Sus scrofa: one gene and its partners. The protein of the gene in region 4 purifies or fractionates together with the protein of the main gene of each other region. This does not show direct contact. Links are inferred from orthologs where the notes say so. Each region holds a gene or a part of one and is shown on either strand. Other genes may lie near its edges.

Region 1 (3,565 bases), on a different chromosome or scaffold from region 4:
CTTGTACACATTATTTTAATTTTTTCCCATGAAGCACCAAAAAGTATTTAACAATTGGTTTTCTTTTTTTATAAAGATACATGTGATGACTAGCGGAGGATGGACTGGTGCCTGAGACTGGAGGGAAGGATTCTAATTAGAAATCTGTTGCAACAGGCCAGGCAAGATGGCATGAGCTCTCACAGATGAGGAGGCAATAGGAACGGTAGAGAACTTCAACGACCTATTCATAAAGCTTGGGTTGATGGTGATGCTTTGAACTAAAAATGGGATAGTAACAGCTGTCTGGAAGAAACTAGTTTTAGATTCACGTTTTAGAATAGATTATAAAAGGTTTGTTCTAGGTATGCAAGAGGGAATATAACAGTAATTGCAAAGCACTCTGAATTGAGGGAGAAGAGTGTAAAACTTTCCTAGGATTAGCCACATCCATAATATCTCTGACTCTTAAGATGGTTTTCCATTATGCTAGTATCTCTATAGAACAAAATGAGAGTTCTTTAGAAACGTTTTAGCAGACATTTATGCTAATAGATTATATGCGATACCAGCTGTTTCATATCACTTTAGTAGTAAAAAAGGTAGTCTCAAGTCCACAGAGAAGCAGAAAAGTGTATCACAAAATAAGGTTTAACTCATAGAGCACCACTCTATTCATACAAAAGAGCTAGGCTCCTACAAGTCCTAGAAACAGACCAACCTGAATTTGGATTTCAGTTGTCACTAGCTCATTTACTCTGTTATATCATCTGTATATTAGAGATATAATGCACATCTCACAACACCGTTACTAGTTCCTGGCATTTTTATAAATATTTTTTCTTAGAATATTCTTTAAAATGGTAACTTTTTTTTTTTTTCTTTTTAGGGCTGCACCTGAAGCATATGGAAATTCCCAGGCTAGGGGTAGAATCAGAGCTACAGCTGAGGCCTATGCTGCAGCCACAGAAACACCAGATCCAAGCCACATCTGCAACCTACACTGCAGCTTGTGGCAACACCGGATCCTTAACCCACCAAATGAGGCCAGGGATTGAACCTGCATCCTCATGGATACTAGGCCGAGTTCTTAACCTGCTGAGGCACAATGGGAGCTCCTAAAATAGAAACTTTTATACTACTTGTCAATTACTTACATAAAGCAGTGCTTCTCAAAACAGTTCCTCTAAATGTTCCCTTAACTACAGAGTAAAATCAAACACACATCCAAAGATTTAGGCATATATTTTGGAGCCAGCACAAAAATTTTAAAGTTTTAACTTAATTATATTAACTTGCATACACACACAAAATAGCCTGTATTTAAGAGTAAAAATGTTTAGGCAAAATTGCTGTAGCAAGAAAATATGCCAGGTTATACAATAACAGGGCCCTCAAAACAATACTTCGTATCTATAAACCATCTTAAGATATCCCAGATTAGAAAAATCTGGATAGCATACTATGCAAATTATGTTTCATGTGGCAAAAAGCCACCCCCTCCCCAACAGAACTACTCAACCTCAAATCCAGAACTTTCCTACAGGTAAGGAGCCTTTAAAAAATGTCTCACAAGAAATAGCAACAACAACAACAACAACAAAAGACAAAAAAAAAAAAAAAAGTCTCAAGATAGCTACCTATGTACTTTGTCATGAAAATCTGCAGACCTGCTTCAAGCTAAGAAAGCTTAAAACTTGGTCTGGAGCCAGGGGAAAAAAAAAAAAAAAAAAAAAAAGCGGAAAGCTCTAACTATGAATCTAAATTTTAAAATTTTACCTGCTTTCTTCTTTCTATCAGAAGTAGCACCCAAAGTAGTTAAAGTAGTAGAGGAGCTTTTATAAACATCTTGACTGCATACTCCAGGATCCTCTTCATCAGAAGAAAGTGAAGATAAATGTTCTGGGTTTTTAAGTTCATTATCAACTTTTTCTGATGGACTGTGACCCCCGGTTTCAGATACTAAAGGTGCGGGTGTTACAGATGCAGTCTTTGGAAGTGGTGGGGGACAAAACGTACGAACAATCTGGGTTCCTGGTCGTCTAGTCCTGTTAGGCATTCGTACAGCAAGAGTGGAAAATTGCTGCTTGGGCCCAGATTTCAGAAAATCTAAGAAAGAGGCAATAAATCCTGTTTTGACTTCTGGCTGCTTTTCCTCTACTTCTTTGATCTTCTGTCTCATTTTTTCTTGATGCTGATAACCATCATGGCAGCTTTCCGAGGAAGGGGGAGTATACGGCAAATATATATCTGTTCCCCTTGGATTCTGGCGTTTGCCTTGGGCAGGTCTTTTCAGTGGTTTCTGATTGCTGTTGTCTTCCTCTTTAGTTTGCCCTTTTCCTTTAGTTTTTTTCTTCTGAAGGTTAAAATGTATTAAGTCTTGGTTTTCCTCTTCAACCTTGACACTGACTGGCTCCCCAGGTTGGGCCATGGCCAACAGTGCAAGTGTACTCCTAGTTGGGGTCACTGACACACCACTGTCTTCACCCCCTAAAGTAAATTCACTCTCTGAAGTAGCACTCTCTCCACTTATACTTCTACTACTAGAAACAAACTCTTGATTTCTGTTATTTAAAGTACTATCAACAGGAACTTCACTGTCTTCTTCAGACTCATGACTGGTAGCAGACTGCTTCTTGAAAGGGCCAGAACTTTGCTCCTGGGCTTCATGACCTGGTCCAATCACTGGCGAAGTTAGTTTAGAAGGTTTACTTTGACCAGGTGTTTCAATGTGCTGTTGATCAAGAGTCATTTTTGACTGAAGAGTAGGTACTGGTGAAAGGTTTACAGTAACTTGATTTCCATTTAGGGAAATATCATTTATATTTGGTGGCTTTCCTACTGTAGCTGCTATGGAGTTAAAATCTGAAGTCACATGCCCAACATCTAATGACTGCTGAAAATGAGATTTAGAATCACCATCTTCAACAGCAGGAATGGTTTCATTTGAAGTTGACTTGGTAAAATCAGAAGGTGTAACTCCACAAGCTGCTGCTGTAGCTGCTAAGATATCATCTACATTTGATAAAATATTTCTTTCATCACTGAGAAGCATTGCCTCTGGGAAACATATTGATCCAAGAGACACAAAATGATTCTTTGAATCATGTTGATTTGTTTCACTAAAATGGCCCTTTGTTGCCAGATGTTGTTGTAATGGTTTTGTAGACTCAGAGAGGTCCATTTTCATAATTTCAGAATTTTGAGGATGGATTTGCTGCTGAGAAGGATCCCCATTGCTCTGAATAACATGACCATCCATTTGAAGGAAAGGATGTACTATTTGTTGAGGACTTTGAACACGCTGCACTTGTAAAGTTGCCTTTACTTGTCCTAAACCTGCCTGCAGTATTGACTGCTGAAGAATTTGTAAATCACAGGCAGAGTCTAAAAGGACCTGTGTATTAGGAAGAGATGCTTGATGGCCATGCCCTAAGGCATGATTTGGAATTTGAATCTGAGATGATGTATTAATTATTTGATCATGCTGCTCCTGGGCCTTGGCTTCATGTACCTTCTGGATAAGAGAATGCTGCTGGTTTAGGTCTTTAGTATTCAACCTTATTTGTGGAGTTTGCATTAAATT
Region 2 (4,354 bases), on a different chromosome or scaffold from region 4:
GTTTAATAATAGTGCCTATGGCTAGAAGAATTAAATGGGATAATGCACGCAGAGCTCAATTCCTGGCATATTGTAAATATAATGTAACATATATATATATATATATATATATACACACATAAAATATAGTATTTTGTATTTAGCCAGAAGACAAAAAAAGACTTAAATGTGAAATGTAGTGATCAAGCCCTAATCTTAAGTATGCAGTCTTTTTTTTTTTGAGCAATTGAAAAATATTTTATGGGTGATATTTTTGCTTTCTTATTATTTGATGTGATAGAAAGTAGAGTAGTTTGAGACAAGTTTAATAGGCCGGAGGATGAAACATATAAGAATTCGCAGAGGAATAACATGATTCCAGGAGGAAAAATGGAGGTGGTCTGCCTGGCTTACCTTCTGTCTCTAGCGCGCGCGGGGGAGGGGGGGATTATTATGCAAAGGGCGAAGAACGAGAATATTCTACACTATGTGACCAGGATAAGATATGCTATATGATTGTGAAGTGAACAATATTTTGTATCCTTTGTACACCGTACAGTTTAAAAAAGCATTTTCAGGAGTTCCCGTCGTGGCTCAGTGGTTAACCAATCCGACTAGGAACCATGAGGTTGCGGGTTCCATCCCTGGCCTTGCTCAATGGGTTAAGGATCCAGCGTTGCCGTGAGCTGTGGTGTAGGTCTCAAACGAGGCTCGGATCCGGTGTTGCTGTGGCTCTGGCGTAGGCCGGTGGCTACAGGTCGGATTAGACTCCTAGCCTGGGAACCTCCATATGCCGTGGGAGCGGCCCTAGAAAAGGCAAAAAGACACACACACACACAAATAATAATAAAAAAGCATTTTCACATAAATGAACTCATTTGATTCTCACAACAGTCTTGCCGGCGTGGGCCCAGAGAGTATCAGGATCCCCTCTTGCTGACCAAGATTCCATAGAACAAGGGCTTTGCTCAAGTTTATAAAGCAAGATTTTGTGATGTTTAGTCTGGAATTTTCTCTGTTGCACGCCCATTTATCCTTTTCTAAATTCATTCAACAAACATTTATTGAACTCCAGGGTGACACCAGGGTAACATATTAACTTCGCTCCAACCCCATAACCCCGTGTAAGTTATCCCAGGGGGAAGAGAAGCCCGTCAAAGACATTCCCGAGAAAACCGGAGATCTTCATCCGTATATAGCAGACAATGAGAAAAGGTCAGTGTGACAGAATTAGTGTTGAAATGAAATTGACAGTTCTTGTGGCGCGAACCGGGGAATCTCCCGACAGACAGCAGTGGGTTGTCATCCAGGGTGGATGCGCAGGCTGTATCCGGCCAAGTGGCGGGGTGGCGGCCGGAGGGGGCGAAGGCGGCACGCGCCGGGTGCCGCGGGAGCGCGGGTGCGGCGGCGCGGCTCCCCGGGCGCAGCGCACCCCCGGCGGCGCGGCCCGCGGCTCGGCGCCGCCCGCTCCTCCTTAACCCGCGCGGGGAGGCGGCGGCGGCTGCGGCCCGGCGGGCGGGGGCGGGGGAGGGGCGCCGAGCGCGGCGCGGAGGCCGGGGAGGAGCCGGGGCCTGCAGCGGAGCCGAGCCGAGCCCAAGCCCCAGCCGAGTCCTGACACCGTCCGTCCGCCTCCTGGCTCCCCGGGAGCCCCGGACTGGCCGGAGCCAGAGCGGTGGCGGCGCGGAGAGCCCCGCGCGCCGGAGCGAGCGGAGCGGACTGGACGCGACTGGAGGAGGCGCGGCCGCCGCAGTAGCCAGTGACGGGCGTCGGGAGCCGCGGCCTCCCGGCCTCTGCTGCCCAGGCCAGCTCCGGGAGAGCGGGGAGTACGAAAACCCCACCCTCCGGGGCACCCCAGGAGAAGAGGCGGGAGCGGGGACGCAAGCCACCTCTCCCCCGGCCGGAGAGAAGACCCTTCCCACTAGGGCGAAGGAAAGAAGAGAGACCCCTCTAGGAGCGAGGAAGATCCCCGGACTGGCCCGGGAATAGAGCTCCCGAAGTGGAAAAAGGGGTGATCCTTACCCAAGGAAGCGGAGTGGGACCGCCCCGGCGTGCCTCCACTCCTCCCGACTCACTCTCCGCAGTAGTGGACTTTGGAGGCAGAGAGAAAGGGGGATATGCCTGTGGAGTAGGCGCCCTCCATCCTATCCAGTCCTCACTGGGGAGAGGATTCCTTTTGCTCGGAAGCAGAGGACACTCCAGGGAAAGAAGGGGAGCCGGCTTTCCGCCTTTCAGGAGAGGGAAGAACTCCCCCAACTTCCTTGTACCTAGACAGTGGAACAGGGCCGAGCCCCTCCGCTCAGATCTCCTGCGGACAGAAAGAGCCCTCCGCTCCCGACAGGATCAGTTTGGGGGGGAGGGGGACTCCCCCAAGGGGGAGGAGACAACTCCTGGTTGGGAGAGGCTCCTCCCCTCCTCCCCAGGGTAACCGGCCCAGTGTGGGGGGTGTGCCACCTTCCACAGGTAGGACCTCCTTCTCCTCCCCCTGCCCCTCCCTCCGTGCCTCATCCTCGGGGGACCCAGTTCCCCTCCCCAGCTTGGGAGGCTCAGCCAAGGACAGGAAGAGCCACTGAGGATGAGAATCTTCATCTGCCTTTGAAGAGGGGCGTCCCTCCAACCCCAAACTCCAGTACCAGGTGGTCCCCTCCTTCTGCTGAGGGAAACTTGGAGACAGGTTAGTGCTTTCTTTCCTCTTCTCTCCCTCATCCTTAGGCACCAGTGGGCGTCGGGGGCTGAGATGGTGGCTCTTGGGTTTCATTACTGGGCAAGGTAGAGAATCTTCTGGGAAATGTGTTCTGAAGCTAACTGGATCGAAACCCTCATCTTGCTGCAGGAGCTCCGAGCAATGGGTTTCTTTAGTGTTTGGGGGCTACAAGGATGGGAGTCATCTGAGGTCCCCAGGGAAGTGTGTGTTTTCATGCCGAGGGCAAAGGGATGTCAGGAAACACCAGCATCTTCAGCACTCCCATATATACAGTGTAGGTATGATGGACAGACACATCCCAGCCAGTCTCTCGTGCCACCCTCCATCCTTGGGCCTCTTCACAAGGAGGGTGGGCCCTCACTAAAGTCATGCTGGCATTTCATGGCCTGGCCTTGTCTGGAGCTTCCATTGGTATCACATTTTCTCATCTGTAACCCTAGATCCCTTTATGTCCACCAAAGCTGTGGAATCTCCAGCCCACTGTGATTACCACCCCCTTGACAAGAAAAGTAGTTGGTCTCCACTCACCCGGCCCGACACCAAGAGGCCTCTTTCATGACATTCCTATTCCTGGCTGGAAGCATGCCTCTACCAATAAAATCCACAAGCAAAATGGGGATCCCATCTCCCAAGGCAGGAAGAAAGGGTACCGGGGAACCCCAGCTCCTGGGTTGAAGTTCCTCCCTCATGCTGGCTGGGTACCACTGCCCCAGGGCACTAGGCTGCTCCTGTCCTTTGCTGACAGTTCCTCAGGAAAAAGCAGATCCAGGAGACAGGAGACGAGGAGAGGAGGGTTGCTGTTCTGCCTCCTTCCAGCCTTCCATCGAAATAAGTTGACCAACCAGGGAGATTTGATCCTTGAGGAGTTTCCTTTCAGAAAAGCACCTAATAGTCTTGTCCTCTCCCTTCCTGTTTTTTGTTCAGTCCTGGGGCTCTGGAAACTTGCATCTAAGTTTTCGTCCAGAAAATAATAGTGGGAAGCACCTCAGCCCAGAATCTTCAGAAAAGGCAAGAAAAAGGTGCCAGGAAATCTGTCTAGCTGAGCCTGAGTTATAGGTTTAGTAACGCTCTGCCTTTCGACCTGCAGTCCCTAGCCAGGTGCCCACTTTCTTGCCTTGCCACTAGGAAGTACCTTTTCTCCTGCAAGGGGTATTAGTGAGTCCAAGTGTGAGGTTTCATCTTATTTGGGTTTTCATGTTCCCTCCTTTCTCTTTCTGGGCATTTCTGGACTGCCCGAGTCCCTTCCATTTGTTCCTGGAAGCGACCTCTTAACTCGTGGTATATGAGACAGGGCTCTAATCCAGGTTTGTTTGGCTGTCCCATGAACGATGTGCATATGTTTCTTAATTCAGGTGGATGTGGCTCTCTCCACATCCGTGCAGGCTGTGGGGAGAGGCACACGTGTGCTTTTCAGACTCAGCCTCCAGTGACTCAGAACTGTGTGTTTCTGGTAGGCTTCTAAAAGCAGGTACCCCTGTGCGTGGATGTGGAGAGGGTGCTGATAAGGAAAGCCTTGGCCTGTCCTGGCCATCTCGAGCCCTCGTGAATGGCTGCCTGAAAGTCACCCCACGTAGCAGGGCAGCCCAGTCTCAGGCTGGGACCCCTTCTTCTAGGACTAATAAGAAAGCTGTACTTTGGATACCTCTGGTCTAAAAAGCACGAGGATCCTTGGCT
Region 3 (4,165 bases), on a different chromosome or scaffold from region 4:
TTGCCGTGTGCTGTGATGTAGGTCGCAGATGCGGCTCACATTCTGTGTTGCTGTAGCTGTGGCTGTGGCTCTGATTCGACCCCTTGCCCGGGAACCTCCACATGCCGTGGGTGTGGCCCTAAAAAGACAAAAAAAAAAAAAAAAAAAAAAAAAAAAGGAAAAGAAAAAAGTGTTGAAGATGTACTAGCAACAAACTGATGATTTCACCTCAAAGCAAACTAACAAACAACCGAAAATCAAATTTCTCAATGTATGATTCAATCAATGTTCATTAATGCCAGGCCCATGTTTCTCCTAAAGTTGCCTCAAATACCAGAAGTCCACATCTCAAGCTCTGAGAAACAGTAATTAGCGAGACCCCGCCTAAGCTTTCTGGGTTAACGACAGGTACAGATTCTGCGGTTAGTCAAAATAGATTCAAATTCCCGCCGTCACTTACTAGCTGTGCGATCTTGGGCAAAAACTTAACCTTTCTGTATCTCATTTTCCTTGCCTGCAAAACGGGAATAATACACTTATCTTACACGGTTGTGGAAATGTTTTTTAGCACAGGACCTGGGGCTTAAGTATGCAATAAAGATTAGCAAATATCATTAACCCCCTTTCAAAACAACAACAAAAAGGAAACCGAAGCCCAGGCTACATAAGCGAGATGCCCAGGGTCTCAGGGCCCCCAACACACACAGCCATCAGTTCCTCCCTCTGGACCCAACCTTCCTTCCTTCCTTCCACGAACCTCGACTTTTCTCCCGCCAAATCCTCACCTTTCCGCTGCCAGCGGGGCCCATGACCAGCTGCGCATAGCGAGGCATGCTGGCTTCCCCGATTCCTGGCGCCGCCACTCACACAAAGTCTGAACACCACACTCCCTTCAGCCTTCGCGCGACGCCCCCTGAGTTCCGGGCACAAGACGTACAAACCAATCGCAATTCGAATTCTTCTTGCGCCTTCTGTTTTGCCACACCTCTGATTACGGAGCGTCCCGAAGGCCAAATCCCGCGTGAAACGCGTTCTGCGAAATGCCCGGGGAGGTTTTGCGCATGCGCAGAAGTATTTGGCGGACCTCCGGTTTAGAAACTGGCGAAGTCTGGTTACCTTGGTGATAACGGACAACTGATAACCCTCTGCATCCCTAAGCCGGGTGCTTTGGTCCTGGGTTTGCGTATTTATGTTTGACCTATATGGTGACCCTGAAGATCTGCAAATTTGCAGAGGGTCTGGAATACTAAGGTTGGAGGGCAACTTTCATTTTAGAGGGAAGGTACATTTCCTTTCCGTGACGCATCCCTTCCACAGAAAGATGCAAACGTACAAACGCGCAGTCAACTGAAGAATACCCGCCCCTCCCCCAACTTAACTCTAGGATCGTGGATCTGCCCTCCCCGCTCTCCCGAAGCTATTCGGGCACTGTCCGGATTGCATCGGAGGGGGCTAGAATCTGGCGTCCGCCTCTTCATCCCCAATATTGCCGGGTCTGACGCACGCGTGCCGACAGGGGAGGGGAAAGGGGAAAGCTTCTCCTGCACGCAGCTCGCGGGCCGGGCACCTGGGAGGAGATGCCTGGCCAGGGTCCAGTGTCTGACTGGACGGAGTGCAGTGCTTCCGCAGAGCCTTCCGCAGTGGCCAGGACCGAGGGTGCCTGCGGCGGGTGAGGTTGCCGGGCCCTGAGGGGTTTGGGAGGACGGCGACCAGCCCCTGCTCGTGATCCCCATGTAGAGGAGGGGGTGGGAACTGGTTGCTCTGAAGGACTGGTCCCCAGTGTCCTGAAGTGGGAGGAAAGGAGAACCTTTGCTATGGCCGAGATGGGAAATATGGAAGCCTACGCACAGTTTAGGGGAAGGGCTTCTGAGGGAAGCTTAGGAGGAGGGTTGGTGCAGTGACTGTCTAAACACAGTGACTGCGGCAATCGCCTGGGTGCCTCTCTGCCCCGAGGGGGCGCTACGAAATCTGCTGGAAAATTGGCCGTCTGGCCGTAGTATTTCTACAGAAAGGAGTTGGCTGGGGGCACCATGGGAATAGAGGCTCAAACGAGCGCTTCCAAATCAATAAATCTCTTACCTGTGTGTGACATTAGCCACCTTTATGTTAAACTGGGATTCATAATCTGCGACAGATGACTATGAATATTAGAGGCGCCTTGATTTTGACATTTTGTTTACTCAGTAACTCCTTTCTTCATAAATCCATTTCATTTCGAGGAGGTTTTTACTATTATTTCCTGGATGCTGAAGACAATTAGCTGCTGAAGTTACTTCCTCATCCCTTGCATCCATTATTCCCTAAAAGTGAGAGCTGCCCGGTATTCCTCTCAAGCCCACAGTCATGGCTCCTGTTGCACCCCATGGCTGTCTTAATATACTTGGTGGATTGACGAATTTTAAAGATGGGATAGGGTCATGTGTTTCTTTTCTATTTTTCACAGTGCTTGGTGAAAGTTTTCTTTTTTAAATTTTTTTATTATACTTGATTTACAATGTTCTGTCAATTTCTGCTGTACAGCAAAGTGACCCATATATATATATATATATATATTCTTTTTCTCAAGGTAAAGTGGTGAAGTTCTGGATCCTAGTATATCAGGGGATCAATGAACTCTTGGTCACTGAATAAGTTGCAGGAAGAGGAAAGGGAGAGTGTTTTGTCTTAATTTGAGAATAGAAAAAATGAACTTGTACAAAATTAGAAACATTGCAGACCATCCTATCACTTCCAGTACACCTTAAATTACATACAACAAATAACAAGATAGTCCTTTCCACACCCGAATTACTTCATTAAAAGTAAAGAATATCATGGGAGTGCCCGTCCTGGTGCAGTGGTTAACGAATCTGACTAGGAACCATGAGGTTGACTCGGCTCAGATCCTGAGTTGCTGTGGCTGTAACGTAGGCCGGTGGCTACAGCTCCAATTGGACCCCTAGCCTGGGAACCTCCATATGCCACGGGAGTGGCTCAAGAAAAGGCAAAAAGACAAAAAAAAAAAAAAAAAAAAGTAAGGCCAAATCTGGCTTAAAGTAAATCCTTTATAGTATTGTGAAAATCTCAGATAACCCACTTTGAAAAAGCCTGGAGTCATTAGGATATAACCAGAATTAGAAGAAAAAAATTGCAAGACATTATTTTTGATGAAAAAATGAAAACTAAAAAGCATATGCAGTACTGTCCTTTTTTCATTTAAAATACTTTATTTAATGCTTATAAAGCCATCAGGTATTGCATATTATTTACATTCTTTTTTTAAAAAACAGATCAGCTGGATATTCTTACTACCAGAATTCCAAAGGAACTGGTGAGTAGAGCACACAAATTAATACCTATCTGGCATAGGCTGGCAGCTGCAGCTCCAATTTGACCCCTAGCCTGGGAACTTCCATATGCCGAAGGTGCCCCCCTAAATATACATACATATATATATGTATTTTTTTTTTCACAGAATAATCCAGCAGGTTGTTTCCTATTAAGATATCTCACATTAAGAGAGTACTTTAAGGAATTCTCATTGTGGCTCAGTGGCTCTGAATCCAACTGGTATCCATAAGGACTCGAGTTCAATCCCTGGCCTCACTCAGTGGGTTAAGGATCCAATGTTGCCATGAGCTCTGGTATAGATTGCAGATGCGGCCCGGATCCTGCATTGCTGTGGCTGTGGCGGAGGCCAGCAGCTACAGCTGCGATTTGACCCCTAGCCTGGGAACTTCCATATGTCAAAGGTGTGGCCCTAAAAAGAAAAAAAAAAAAGTGTACTTCAAAATACCAGTGAATCTGAAAAGAATTGTTTATAACAGATTGAAGGAAAAATTCTAAATTGTACAACTTCAAACAACATAAAATATTTCTCAGTGCTACTATTTTCCTCTCACTTGAAATAATGGCTAGAACTGCTGGAGGTAAGAGGTTAAGATAGGCCCCCAAAGACCATCTAATTATTTTTTTGTGGGGGGGAGCAATTTCAATTCAATGATATATAAACTTGAATTCACTTTACTTTTCCTTGGAAAATTTATATTCCTTACAGTTACCTAGGAAACATACACCTATATGTATATTACTGTTTATTTCATATGCATATGTTTGTTTTAAAATGGAATTGCTGAGGGAGTTCTAGTTGTGGCTCAGCGGGTTAGAAACCCAACCAGTATCCATAAGGATGTGGGTTTGATCCCTA
Region 4 (3,041 bases):
ATTTGAAGGAATAAAAGAGGCAGTGAGCATAGATTTAATTTATTACTATTTAATTTCTTATACATTCTTGGATAAGCTAAGAAAACCCAAGTATATATCTTAATTTTATAGAACAGTGGACTAAAAATTATGAGAATTAAAAAAGAAATCACTCTAATTTTTTTCTTCACTGCTAAGTTATTTCACATTTCCAAGTAAATCCCTATTCTAATGCCATCTTATCTTGTTACAGACTACAAATGAAATGGAAGGCTTCCTAATTTATTTTACAAAATAGCAAAACTCTTTCTCTTAAACTAAATAAACAACAATAAATGTGTGACCAATGTCATTCTTAAACTTAGATTCTGAAGCTAAAAAAAAAATTAGTTAAGTAACAACATTTTTGAATGCCAAAAATTAAAAAAAATTAGTTTCTAAGTTACCCTAATGGAAAAAAAAACACAAAAATGTTTCACTATGAGTCAGTCCCTCATCCCCAGCCTGGCCCTGTACTGCTTAGATCATTGACTGACCTCGTAAAACATAAAGTGAAGAACTTGCCTTAGATTTCACTCAGGGCAAAAGCAGCTGCTGGACATGGCACTAGAACTTGTACTGGCCATGGCAGTAGTATTATCTGTAGTGGTCATTCTAGCTTGGGCTCTCCCTTCCTGATCTCTCAAAGCCTCTTCATACCACACTGGGAAGGATCTGGGGTCACTTCCATTGACACTGGCCAAAAACTCCAGAAGACTCATCTTGCTGGTCTCCATGTGGGCCCTGGGACCCCACTGGAACTCATAGCGGTCGGGCTCACTGTTGGGCACCTGCTGGTACTCCAGGTAGCCCTCCTGCACCAACACTTTGGTAATGAGCTCTCTGGGTTCCCCATAGATAAAGTGCTCCCTCCCAGCATACACTCCCATCACATTCAGTGCTTCCCACACCACTTTCTCAGGGGCACAGCCTCCCTCCATGAAGATTATGCTCAGGATAAGTATCAGAATGCCGGTCTTGGGCATGCTCTGCTCATCACTCAGCATTCCATCATAGGTGAGACCTAGGGTGGTGACCAGGACATAGGAGTGGTTGCTGGGGTCCACCTCCTTCACATCAATGCCAAAGACCAACTGCATGCACTCAGAGGCTTCACTAAAGATCACAGGGAAGTGGCCCTGGACGTCTTTGATGATGATGTTCAGCATTTCTGCCTTTGTGGTCAGCTCCTTTGTGCGATACTTGTGGAGCAGAAACTCCACCAACTCAGACACCTTGTCATCAATCACATTTTTGGGAAAGGACTCAGTGTCTGGCAGAGGCTGTGAGGTGCTCAGACCCTCCTCTTTTTGGCTGCAGGAGCCATCATCAGCTTGGCTCAATGGAGCAGAAGCAACGGCCATGGGGGAGGGACAGGAACTTTGAGGGCTCTGTGAAGAACTCGAGGTCCCAGGAAGAGCATAAGCCTCCTCTGGGGTGCTCGAGATGAGAGGATAGCAAGAGGAAGAGGAGGAGGAAAGGAAAGAGGAGGGAAAAGAGGAGGAGGAGGTGGAGGAGGAGGAGGAAGTATCCTCTTCATCAGCCACAGGAGCCTGTGCACACACGAGGCCCTGTGCCTCGCCTTGGGCTTCATGGCCTTCCTCAAGCATGTAGCGCCGTCGCTTTGGAGCATGAGGCATGATGCGAGGGCCGGACAGCTGAAAGGAATGTGGGCAGGTGACAGATGGGGACGAGGGGCCTGGGCTGAGCACCGTAGCCACCTCCCTACAGGTCTTCTCCTTAGGGGAGCTCTTAGGCCTCACAGGGGCTCTCCTCCTGGGCAGCCTGTCCCCTGTGATCCTGAACGAGGAGGTGAGGTGGCTCCTCATGCTGCAGCCAGAGCAGTTTGTGGTTCTGGGGCTCCCTGAGGGTGGGGTGACTTGGCCTTGTGGGGTCCCCTCTGTTCTGGGATGGGGAGCCCTTAGGTACACACTCGGGGCACACACCTCACCTGGACACCTGGGCCTCCTGCTCTGTGACACAAGGACGTGGGTCTCACACCTGGGCCTTCGCCTCTGGTTCCTGGAGACCCTGTAAGAGAAATTGAGGGGCCACTGTGGGTGTAGACCGTGGCACAGCCTGGGGCCCCCAGTGCTGGTAGGAGGGGTGGACAGGACTCTTGCCGGGTGGGTGGTCCCCTCAGGGCTCCCTCCTCTGCTCACCTTTGCCTTTGCACGGCCTGGGCCTCCTACTCTGTGACTTGAGGACGCAGGCCACACGCCTGGGCCTTCACTTCTGGTTCCTGGAGCTCCTTTAAGAGGAATGGAAGGGACAGCTTGGGTATAGACTATGGCACATGCTCATCTTGCCTTGGGGGGTGGGAAGGGCGGACTTCCGGGGTGAGCGTCTCTGAGATCCCCTCTGATTTGGGGTCCAGGCTGCCCTCCGTCTTCCCTCAGGGTTCTCACCTTGACTCAGGCAGCACAGGACCCTCCCCTTTGCCCACCCGAGGCCCCGCCCCTTACATCAGGTCCCCAGTCTCTCTGAGACCTGGATGTCAGGAAGTTCTGCCTGTGGTCATCCTGCCCTCTGGCCTCTCAGGGTAGAATGCAGGGGCGAGTTTCTCTGAGGTCCCTCTGACCTGGGGTTCAGGGTCCCCTCAGTCCTCCCTCGGGAGCCTCACCTTGATTCCCAGCAGGTTCTGGGCCCCTCCCCCTCTGGCGCTCCACCCCTGATTCCAGGTCCCCAGTCTTTCTGAGACCCTGCAGCTGCCTAAGGCAGGACAGGCCTAGTGTGCTCATCCCGCCCACGGGGAATCCCCAGGCTGATTCTGACCTGTGGTCCAGGAGCTGCTCGGTCCTCCCTCAGGAGCCTCACCCTAACTCCTAACTGGACCTGGAATTCACTGTCTGCCCTCTGGAGGCCCCGCCTTTTATACCAGGTCCCCAGTCTGAGACCCGGATGTCAGGAAGTCAGGACACGTGGTCACGTGCTCATCACTCCCACCCTGGGGTGGCTTCCCAGGGGTGACTTCCGGGACAGGCTTCTCTGAGATCTGTGACCTAGAGTCCAGGCTCCCCTCA

Evidence for each region.
Region 1: the proteins of MAGEA10 (region 4) and QSER1 purify together in Homo sapiens (affinity purification with mass spectrometry; 3 studies listed by BioGRID and IntAct, counting the BioPlex papers as one, with this or other methods). This does not show direct contact. The link is inferred for Sus scrofa from reciprocal best matches to the Homo sapiens genes MAGEA10 and QSER1.
Region 2: the proteins of MAGEA10 (region 4) and FOXJ2 purify together in Homo sapiens (affinity purification with mass spectrometry; 3 studies listed by BioGRID and IntAct, counting the BioPlex papers as one, with this or other methods). This does not show direct contact. The link is inferred for Sus scrofa from reciprocal best matches to the Homo sapiens genes MAGEA10 and FOXJ2.
Region 3: the proteins of MAGEA10 (region 4) and FAM216A purify together in Homo sapiens (affinity purification with mass spectrometry; 3 studies listed by BioGRID and IntAct, counting the BioPlex papers as one, with this or other methods). This does not show direct contact. The link is inferred for Sus scrofa from reciprocal best matches to the Homo sapiens genes MAGEA10 and FAM216A.

The regions. Positions count from the first base shown.
Region 1 is NC_010444.4:27,987,956-27,991,520, forward strand, and holds part of QSER1 (glutamine and serine-rich protein 1), read right to left. Parts: coding exon 1,759-3,565; intron 1-1,758. UniProt on the Homo sapiens protein: Plays an essential role in the protection and maintenance of transcriptional and developmental programs.
Region 2 is NC_010447.5:63,060,465-63,064,818, forward strand, and holds the start of FOXJ2 (forkhead box protein J2), read left to right. Parts: upstream 1-1,513; 5' UTR 1,514-2,650; intron 2,651-4,354.
Region 3 is NC_010456.5:31,848,685-31,852,849, forward strand, and holds the start of FAM216A (protein FAM216A), read left to right. Parts: upstream 1-1,350; 5' UTR 1,351-1,556; coding exon 1,557-1,648; intron 1,649-3,248; coding exon 3,249-3,289; intron 3,290-4,165. Other genes in the region: GPN3 (GPN-loop GTPase 3), read right to left, coding at 765-812.
Region 4 is NC_010461.5:123,400,252-123,403,292, forward strand, and holds MAGEA10 (melanoma-associated antigen 10), read right to left. Parts: upstream 1,665-3,041; 5' UTR 1,659-1,664; coding exon 552-1,658; downstream 1-551. UniProt on the Homo sapiens protein: Not known, though may play a role in embryonal development and tumor transformation or aspects of tumor progression.